Drosophila melanogaster: one gene and its partners. The protein of the gene in region 2 interacts with the protein of the main gene of each other region in a pairwise test. Each region holds a gene or a part of one and is shown on either strand. Other genes may lie near its edges. The genes, in order: PIG-C, CG13068 and CG10444.

The links.
Region 1: the proteins of CG13068 (region 2) and PIG-C interact in a two-hybrid assay, tested with the Drosophila melanogaster proteins (one large-scale study listed by BioGRID).
Region 3: the proteins of CG13068 (region 2) and CG10444 interact in a two-hybrid assay, tested with the Drosophila melanogaster proteins (one large-scale study listed by BioGRID).

Annotation. Positions count from the first base shown.
Region 1 is NT_037436.4:3,317,556-3,321,311, forward strand, and holds PIG-C (phosphatidylinositol glycan anchor biosynthesis class C), read right to left. Parts: upstream 1,678-3,756; 5' UTR 1,638-1,677; coding exon 1,137-1,637; intron 1,035-1,136; coding exon 675-1,034; coding exon of another isoform or gene 597-674; 3' UTR 473-596; downstream 1-472. Other genes in the region: Dpm2 (Dolichyl-phosphate mannosyltransferase subunit 2), read left to right, coding at 2,242-2,350, 2,960-3,096; CG12016 (uncharacterized protein), read left to right, coding at 3,190-3,756.
Region 2 is NT_037436.4:16,267,333-16,270,508, reverse strand, and holds CG13068 (uncharacterized protein), read right to left. Parts: upstream 1,118-3,176; 5' UTR 1,075-1,117; coding exon 1,063-1,074; intron 993-1,062; coding exon 675-992; 3' UTR 598-674; downstream 1-597. Other genes in the region: CG34248 (uncharacterized protein), read left to right, coding at 1-7; CG4950 (uncharacterized protein), read left to right, coding at 2,368-3,176.
Region 3 is NT_033778.4:20,272,790-20,276,545, reverse strand, and holds the start of CG10444 (uncharacterized protein), read left to right. Parts: upstream 1-2,046; 5' UTR 2,047-2,307; coding exon 2,308-3,289; intron 3,290-3,346; coding exon 3,347-3,756. Other genes in the region: CG9143 (uncharacterized protein), read left to right, coding at 1-79, 142-400; CG11788 (uncharacterized protein), read right to left, coding at 461-560, 619-1,758, 1,818-1,855.

The DNA of each region.
Region 1 (3,756 bases), about 13 Mb from region 2:
CTGAAACTGTGGAAGTAGCTTGCAGGACAGCATGCATTACATAGATAGGTAAAACGCAGAATACTAAAATAATTAAATCTCTGGTTAGACTAGGAACTTCTGGGAAACCCAAGGGCGTGCACTTAATACAGATGTCACTCATCCATATTCCATAGTCTATTATTAAAGCAATTGCTTCAATTTATTTGCGTTAGATAGGGTCAAATATATTCAATGTATGCTCATGCGAATGTTTAATTGTTATCTACGAAACGGGTTTTAGTCGCTGACGATAAATAATCTTTAACTAAATTTATTTTTAGTCTGAGTAAAACACAACCAAGCCAAAAAACTCACCCTGTTAATTTAACTCCATTATCTTTCAATTGAAAAACCTTTGCCTTAAGTTGATAACAATTTATTTAAAAAGCCATTCATAGGACCAAAAGAAAGTCCCCTAAAAATTACACAAATTTAAAAGTGCTATGGTTTTAAACACAAAAAGTATAATTTATTAAAACGCTACTTACAAACTAACAGATATAACATGATACAAAAGATTAACATCAATGGCTTGGAATGAGTTTACAAAGTTATAAAAATAAGCGTGCAATGGTTTAGCGATCAGTGAAGTGCTCCTCGACGTCGCCGCTACCCAGTCGTGGCGGCAACTGTTCTGAGAAGCGCAGCTGGCGCTATAAGTTCCCATCCAGGTTCTCCTCGGTGTTCTCCTCCACGATGGCCTCGTCCCAGGGCCCGTGAATGTTGAACTTGTACTGCTGCTGCCACACGAATATGAACGGGCAGACAAAGTTGATGAAAATGGTGGTGGAGGCGTAGAGATAGAGCACCGGGCGCGATATACAGTACAGCGCCATACAGCATATTGCAAATATAGGCAACATGAATCCAGCATGCCAATTCGCTTCCGTCATTATGGGATAAAGGACGAAAAAGACGGCAGCCTCGACAAGGAGCACGAAGGCGTGATACGAAGTCGGCAGGCGGGAGGCTAAGCAAATTGCTCCAAATATGGCGGCATTCAACGAGACGGCCTGCGCTTAACATGGAACAAGAAGTATTTGTATTATATAGGATTCTGAGGTGGAGTCAAGATCAATATACAATCAACACCAATAGCCGTAAATATTGCCTACCTTAGAGACCATGGCTACATCCAATCCATAGTGTCCAAATATCAGGTTGCCCAGAAGGACAAAGAAGGTCATTGTGTATATGGTGTCCGTGCTGATGGCCTGCGTTAGGGTGTGCAGCATCGGTGAGAATAAGTAGCCGAAGAGGACCACTGTGACCAGGGTTTTGGAATCCTCGCCCAGCAGGGCCCAGCTGAGACTCCTTCCTCGGTAGCACAGGTATCCAATGCCTGTGATCCCGCAACTGGGTACCAGGATCGTGGTGGGCGACACGCTGTCGCTGAGCATAAGTTGGTAGAGTATTAGGAAGCCGGTGATGCAGGAGATCTGATTATTAAGCACTGTAATACCGGCAATTGCTTCGCCGAACGTGTATATTCTACAATGTAGATTCGTGCGCAGATCCTTCAGAAAGCTGGCATCCGTGTAGTTGTCCGGATATTCCCGGTTGGAGTACAGGTTCTTCACCCATGGCTGCCGTTTCGATTGCCCATTTTTTACCATTCTTAAATTTAAAAATTGTTTGTTTACAATTCTATTAGTGCTGGGTTATCAGCGTTCGATAGTATCAGTTACTATCGACATATCGATATTGTTTTATCCACTGAAAAGTATTGAAAGTAAGTGCTGGTCACACTGTCATAGTGATGCATGTTTCACTTGAAATATCGATGATGATAGTTTAATTTGAAATATTAATAAACTGTTCATTATCTAAACAAGGGGTTTTACAGCAAGCTAATAATATACAAATCTTATTCTGAAAATTATCCCCAAGCAGAAGTGACTCGCCTACATCGATAAGAACATCCGCTGGTGTTGCGCAAAACAGTTACTCGAGCTATCGATACTTGTTCGAGTGGTTGAACCACCACTACCTTGAATTCGGAAATTTTTTGACGCACTTGTTTGTTTTGTTTACAATTACGCCACGAAAGTAAATCGGCAGCTACGAAAAAACATTAGGGATTCGTGCGGCGGGTAAACGATCAGTGGACAGTGAAGCAGTCCGTCCGGGGAGAACGCCCCATGAGCAGTTTTACAAACAAATCGCCGGTCGCGTGTTCTCTCGCCAGAGAAACCCCAGAATTTCCGAGAATAGCTATTTATGGCTTCGAATGCGCAACTCGGGAAAATCATTTTGATATCTGCAATCGCCGTGTTCTTCTATTACTTCTTTTGGGTGGCCGTCCTCCCGTTTATGCTCATCGATGAAGGTGAGTTTTCCACGGCTTCCGTTATTCACCCGCTAATACATAAGTTTTATTGAATAATCTCGCGCTTTTGTATAGTAATTAAAGTGACGCCGCGGCGTAAATTGGTCACGATGTTCAATTATATATAGTTGGCAGTGTACGAGGATGAACCCGTGTGTTTTACAGAGGTGACCACCCTAACACGGGTTACCTGGAATGCGGCTGTACGATGCTCTAAGCTCGGGTCAAGGTCACCGACGACTAGTGATGATAGGAGTACAGTATTCGCCCGATATGTGCACAGTCAAACTAGTTAGCTATTGTAGAGTCTAGGCATGTACAATCAGCGATAAAAACGAAAACGTGCTTAACCAGTGGTACCACTGTATTATGTGGTTCCAAATCTGGGTGTGTACTTAGCTAATTATTTTCGGTAGTTTTTCCGCCTGGATATTGGCTCTTCACTTTATACGTAAATATTTCATGATCGTAGTTTTGCCGTTCCGTGACAATTTTAATTTGTTGCTATTAAGAGTAATCATAAAAACAATATACTTACGTATTTTCTTTCCTGGCCTGTTATCAAATGAAACACTTGTGAACATGAGTATACTTTACAAACTTTTACAGGCAATCCCATTCGGCTGTTCTTTCCACCGCTGAAGTACGCTTTCATTGTGCCCACCGTGTTCGGGGTGATCTTCCTCGGCGGCATCGCCGCGTTCTCCTTTTACCACATCTGGAGCCTGAGAGTGAAACGTGATTAAGGGGGTTATCCGGGGGGTTATCTTGCTCGGTGCGAACGCGAACGTACGATTCCACTGAAAAACAAGGAAGAGCGATAGTCAGTCGTGGACAAGATGCCGCAGTGGCTGGTCATTGGTATCTCGGGAGTCACCTGTGGTGGCAAAACTACGCTAGCCCACAGCCTGCACGACTACTTCAAGGGTCTGAGAGGAGCGCCGCTGTGGAACTCGCCGTACACCATTGGCGAGGTGCGTCTGATCTCGCAGGATGACTACTTTCTGCCCGTGGAGGACAAGCGACATCAGCGAAATGAGGCGCTCAACGCCATCAACTTCGAGCTCATCACCTCGCTGGACATGGCCAAGATGCTGAACGACATAGCGCACATAATCAAGGGGCGCCATGTGGCTCCCGAGCCACAGGAGCACCTTGTGACGTATGCCAACTTCGAGCACTACGCCCAGCAGTTCCAGCAGCAGTACCAGTACAATGCGAACTACTACAAACAGGCCAATGGCGGGGTCTATCAATATCCGCCACAGCAGCACCCGAGACATCACCCCCATCACCAGCAGCACCACCACCAGCACCATCAAATCCAGCAGCAGCAGCAGCACATTATGAGCATCAATGCGCAGATTGCCGCCCAGCTGAGGGACAAGAAGGTCAATTTCCTCCTG
Region 2 (3,176 bases):
TGCCTAGGGGAGCGTCCTCCCACTGGCCATAAGGTGGTCAAAGGACACTGTTGTCCCTCCTGTTGAATCCTTTCCCTGTTATGGTTGCTATTTTACTCGTTATTGCCCGCTTTAAGCCAGAAATATATTTTTAGACACGCACATGCATAATTATTTATTCGGGTTGACGCAACTTTCAGTCGGCAATTTTTAAATGGCCAACACGTGATTCTCCTACCAGAGATGCCGGTTACCTATACATTTCGAGAAATCTATCACTTTTGCCATCTGTGATTTGTCAATGGATGATGACGCAACTGAATTGGTATTTTTTCGGGCTACATTTCCGCATTTTAAGTGGGCAGAACAGACGCTGCCAGAACAAAAGGTTTAGAAAAGGTGACAGTAAAAAAATATTAATTATAAAAAACGTATATGTTTAGGTGACTTTCTTTTTAAATACTATCAAGAACTTTTGTTGCCGCCAAAAGATTGAGAAATAATAATTAATAGTAGAAAATCCATTAAAAAGTATTAATAATATATAACTATAGCTTTTTTGCTATTGAAAAACAGAACTTGGTGTTCCCATTTCCAGAATAATATTTTTAAGCTTTTAGTTTGATTTGTTTTATTGCCAGTCGGGTCTATTTTTATTCCATTTCAAATCCGTTTTGAATACTTGTTAATCCGTTTTACAAAACAGTGGTGTATGCAGCGCTGTAAGGGTAGGCGGCATACGGATAAGCAGAGTAGGCAGCGGCAACTGGAGCGGTATAAGCAGCGGCGGCAACTGGAGCGGTATAGGCAGCGGCGGCAACTGGAGCGGTGTAGGCAGCGGCAACAACTGGAGCAGCAGCCACACCGTTGAAGTTGCGGGCCACGTACTGCGAACTGGTAGCGGTGACCACGCCGGCAGGAGCAGCTGCAACCACTGGAGCGGCGGCCAGGATAGCGGGCTTGGGCTCAGCCGAGGAGCAGGCCACCAGAGCGCACAGGACAACGAGGGCAGACTGTACGGAAATAACCAGTTAATATAATACTCCAGATATCTGTATCCATATGGAGAAACCACCAACTCACCAGCTTGAACATGATGGTTTAGTTTAGTTTGATTTGAGCTAGCAAATTGGACTATGACTTGATTCGATCCGACATGCAACTTTTATAGCACCGGGAAATCGCATAGATGCTTTTGACTTTCTGGGCACACACGATAATGGGGCGAATGATTCTATACCACCTGCATGGGAATGCAGAGCGGCCTTTCAGTAGCTCAATTGGCCGTTTGGCTACGTTCCCGCCGCCCGCGGAGGTCGATTCCAATCCGAATCCGAATCCGAATCTGAATGCAAGACCAAACCCATTCATTATTTCGGGCACGTCCGCATTGTGGGCCCATAAAAGATGTCGCCGCGAAGGTGACCAGTAGCCCGATGTGATTGATGCCACCAGACACGGCTAATTGCCGATGAGTAACCTCCTGCGCCAAGAGTTGGCCAGGAATCAATGAAATGGAATTGCACGCTTCAATCCGATTGCGAGCGCATTGTTTCAGGGTTACGTCCGTCGGCTGCAATGGTCTTTATGCAATCAAAACCATGTCATCGTGCCCGTTCTTTGTTTCGGCCAAAATCTAATCCGCTTGACTGATGCAATGCGGTCAATCTCACACACGAGCCAAAAAACGCCAGTTACGTTTACATTCGCATCGTAAGGTCAACAAACTGCATGGCAAGATGCAGTTTCGAGGGGGTCGCCAGATAACTGAGGCTCTAAAGTTAGCAGACAGCTTTTAATAAGAGTCAAGCTCAGCTTACCAGTCCATTCACAATCGAAACGTGCCTGTATGGGCTTATATCTCTGAAGCAAAATGAAGCCAGACATGTAGGGGTTCCTACAGGGCAAGTTCTTTTGGGGAGAGGACGACCTCGGAATACCCTGTACTCAATTAACCACATATACTTCTAATCTTGAAAACCAGAAGCAGAAGAATGTCTAGCTACACGACATATGTATAAACATATTACCAAAATTGATATAATGACAATATTTAGAAAGATATCGTAAGATACCCAAATTTTATATATTCGTTTTAAAACCTTTTTCTATTATTAAATGCATTTATGAGATCACGTCTTGAAATGACCGTTATAATGTAGTGCATTATAAAAGTATAAACAAAACAAAGTGCAGACCGACAATATGTTATCACTATTGCGCTGGACTACTGAAAGCTGGCAATCTGCGGAGGAGCGAGATAAAGTTTAATCAATGAATACAATATTATATGTAAATACAAATGGAGTGGAAGCTGGAATGGCAGTCTGCGAAATTCCACTGATGCAGTTTACAAAGTTATTTGGCGGCGAGCGGTTCGTAAAAAAGATGAATAGAACGCGAAGGATACTCGAAGTGATCGTTATCCTTATTCTAGCGATATCGAGTTGTGATGGCAGTGGAGGAGATATCCCCCTGCGATGCGACGAGTACGATTCCATGGGATACATGGACGTGAATGAGGCGTTTTGCACGGTCACCGGATTCACGGTCACACACAGTCAAAATGTCGTGATCAAGAACATACCACCCGGAAATATGGTCAAGTTCATGAAGTTTTACGAATCAACGCTGCTCTATATGCCCTTCCATCTATTCGAAACATTCCCATATCTCAAGACCCTCGATGTCTCGAATACGAATATTTTGGAGCTAACGAGAAATGCATTCAGTGCTGCGAGTAATCTCACCTATCTGAATCTGGCCTACAATAATCTGACATCTATCCAGACTTCTGTGTTTATTGGCGCCAATGTTCTGATGCGTTTGGATTTGTCCTACAATGAGATATCCTCGCTGAGTGTGAATGCCTTCTGTGGCCTGCACACCATTAGCCAGATTTATCTAACGGGCAATCTGTTGAAGGAGCTGCACAACGATATCTTCAAGGATAACGAGTACTTGGAGAAGGTGTCCTTCGAGGGAAATCTACTGACCAGCATTCAACCGGAGGTTTTTCGCAATATGCGGCGCATCAAGGAGGTTAATCTATCCAATAATCGCCTGATTTTCATCCATCCGGACACTTTTGCGGATGCGGCAAGCTTGGAGAATCTGGTGTTGTCCTATAATGAGTTGAAAAACTTCCAGCTGACGGAGAAGAATATTGTGCATCAGCTGCACTTGGATAATAATTA
Region 3 (3,756 bases), on a different chromosome or scaffold from region 2:
GCGTGCAGAGTGAGCGCGGCTGGATGAAGAAGCACGCTGAGGAAATGGACATGATCATTGATGGCTACAATGACGAATCGTAAGTTTTTTTTAACAAGATCTCATTAAAATGAAGTCTATGACTAACTCTTACTTTTGCAGTGGCAGTGACCAGGATGAGGATCCATTTGTGATTGAGCGACGTCGCAATCGGCTGCGCGTGGAGACAGTTAGAGCGCAGCTCAATGCTCTCCTGGCCCAACCCATCTTCCCCAGAGGCTTCAGCTTCAAGTATCCCAACAGCGAGGCGGCCCAATTAGCCACGAGTCATACTCAAAGTGCCGTGGAGACCATGAAGGCGGCCATAGAGGACCAGAAGCAGGCCAAAAAAGATCGCAACAAGCGAAAACGGAATGCCTAATCTAACTTAAAGCTGTTTTATTGAATAAGAGATACAAAGCTATAGCCTTGGATGTTTCCATCAATGCTTTGAAACAAAGTATCGCACACCTCCATCGGTCAATGAGCGAGCGTGCTTGGCCAATAGTGTGGAAACGGACAAGTTTGGGGTGGTAAAGCACCTAGTTATAAAACCGAAAATCAAAAAAACAATCTAGATATGTGTTCATCATTACTTACTCTATGTACGGTTCCATTTCCTCCATCGTCCATCTCTTTTTAGTCTTAAATAGCGCCCGCATGCGATCGCTTATATTGGTGGGCAGTAACTCCTCTGCCAGGGAGCGTATGCAAGGCTGCGCTCCCTCCTTGTCGCAAATGCCCAGACCTCGTAGGTACTTTAAGTCGCAGGACATGCCCTCGGGCAGTACCTCCTGCCAGGTGCGCATGAACTCCTCGTTGCGAAAGCGCAAACCCGGCTGAAGAATGTTCTGTGCCACAATGCGGGAGACCAAGGACTCCTGGTACTCAAACTTGCCCGGGCAACGTTCACTGGGAATGGTATAGATATCAAACAGCCCAGCCACAACATCCTCTGGAGCTATGCCCTTCAGTGCATTGATGGTCTCCTCCCGTTCCACTTCGTCCAAGGCCCAGGAGTTTTCGCTTATCAAACCCAGCATCATGTTAATAATGCGATACTCGTATTCGTACTCCATCACGCGCATTCGCCCGTCCAGTTCTATGGCTCGATATTGGTTCAATCCCTCCATGAACTGACCGCGGCTGCACTGCACCGTGTCCAGGAGCTGCGAAAAGGTAAAGAGTAGCTTCTGCTCCACGCAGAACTCGTTCTCCGGCCCCGAATATCGAGTCAGCTGCAGTAGTTCACCCAGCTTGCGAAAGCGCGGCTTTATCTCGCGGCACTCGAAGTACTCGTGGAACACCTTGAGCACCGGCCGCTGCTCCAGAGTTCGCGGCACTTCCAGTTCATCCTCCGTGCTGTCATTGAGGCTGCGCTCCAGGGAGGCGTTGGCGTTGCCAGTGCGCGGACTCTTCAGCGGCGAGGTGCTGGTGGCGGCGGCAAACTTGAGGTCCGGTACCAGCAAAAGGCTATTGGATATTTCCGCGCCCTTCACGTCGTACGTTCGCTCATCGGTGCACAGCACCAGCTTCTCGTTCTGGCCACCCTTGAAATATAGCGTCTGGCCGTCGCGGATTTGTCCAAGCATGTGCCCATCGAGCTCCAGAAGGCGCAGATTGTCCGAATCCACGTCCGCCGAGGGAAAGTACAGAGCCTGGGTGAGTTGGGTCAACTGGCGCTCGTCCAGTTTCGCATGCTTCACAATGGCCTTCACATCCTCCGGCGTGCGAACGTAGCTATGGCGGGTGGTTGGGTAACATTATAACTCCTACGCAGGCATACCAAAGGCACTCACAGCTGGGCAGCAGACTCATCAACCTCCATGGATTCCATGTTCGCTGCATGTAAACAAAACAAAAAATTAACCAAAACAATGAGCGGGAAAAAGTAGTGGGACCAAAGCACAGCAATGTTGCTTTCGTTGAGGGTATTCAATGGCCTTTCAATATGTAAGCTTAATGTGCTTGGAAAACATTACAGCATTAATCCGCACACCCTGCAAGGGCACACTCACCGCTCAGCTGATCAGTTATTTAACGGTCGTAGCCTCGGCAAGAACGTTTCTTTTTTGAGCGGAGATTTCGCGAGCACGCGTCTTGTTTTCCGCCGTTCGCCGTGCACTTGGACGCGCACTTTAGAAAGCGTTGACTGCGCCAAAGGTCATTGCTGGGCAAGAGAAGCGTCCAATCGCCGCTGGTGGTGACGCTTGTGGAAAAATCAATTCGGACCAGTGACGGACGTCGAACTTCCAGTTCTCTGACAAGCGGAATCCAGTCAACAACAACATGCCCGTGGGAACGTTTGACGCCTGGGATGCGGCCGTGCTGATCACCATCCTGGTCATATCGGCTCTGATTGGCATCTACTACCGGTATACAGGCGGCAAGCAAAAGACCACACAGGAGTATCTGATGGCGGACCAGAGCATGACCACTTTTCCGGTCTCCTTCAGCCTGATGGCAAGCTTCATGTCCGCCATCTCACTGATGGGCGTCTCCAACGAGTCCTACGAATTTGGTACCATCTTCTGTGTGATCAACATTGCCTACGTGCTGAGTACGCCCATTGCCGCGTACTTCTTCCTTCCTGTTTTCTACAGGATGCGGACGACCAGTGTGTACGAGTATCTGGAGCGGCGCTTTGGCCAGGCCACCCGGCTGTCCGCCTCCCTGGCCTTCACCGTGCAAATGGTGCTTTACATGGGCATTGCACTCTATGCACCAGCGCTCGCTTTAGAAGCTGTAACCGGCATTCATCGGTCAATGGCCATCGTGGTCATTGGACTGGTGTGCACCTTCTATTCGACACTTGGCGGCCTGAAGGCGGTGCTCATCACGGATGTGTTTCAGTCCTTCCTCATGTTTGCCGCCATCTACGCCGTGATTGCCGTGTCGGCCATTAAAGCCGGCGGATTCGCGGCCATCTGGGATGTGGCTGTGGAGCGAGGACGCGTGAACTTCATTGAGTTTTCATTGGATCCCACCGTGAGGCATACTTGGTGGTCTCTGATCATTGGCGGCATGGTCACTTACCTCTCCTTGTATGGCGTTAATCAAACGCAAGTACAGCGACTCCTGAGTGTCCGCAATTTGAAGAGCGCTCAGTCGGCGCTTTGGTGGAACCTGCCCATCCTAGGAATGCTTAGTTTTAGCACCATTTTCAGTGGACTGTCCATATTCTACTATTATCGAGATTGTGACCCTTTGCTAAAGGGACGCATCGACAAGCGGGATCAGATCATGCCCCTTTTCGCACTGGAGACTATGGGTGAGTTGGAAAGACATCCAATAAGAATTAGCATTATTTGATTTCTTTTTCCGGCAGGTCAATATCCTGGACTGTGTGGTCTGTTCGTGTCCGGAATATTCTCCGCCAGTCTTTCCACGATTTCGTCGGCAGTTACCTCGCTGTCGGCTGTAACACTGGAGGATTACCTGAAGCCCTTGTACAAGGCGATATTTAAACGGACGCTAATTGACTCCAAGTCCACGATGCCCACCAAGATTGTGGCGTGCATTTTTGGCCTGCTTTGCATCGGTCTAGCTTTTGTCGCTGGCTCCATGGGCGGAGTTCTTCAGGCATCGCTTACCATTTTCGGTGTGGTAGGCGGTCCGCTGCTGGCCATTTTCACACTGGGAGTCTGCACTACACGCAGCAACCAAAGAGGCGTGCTGCTTGGCTTCCTCGTTTCCCTGATAGTTTCCTTCTGGATGGGATTCGGCGGACCCAAACCA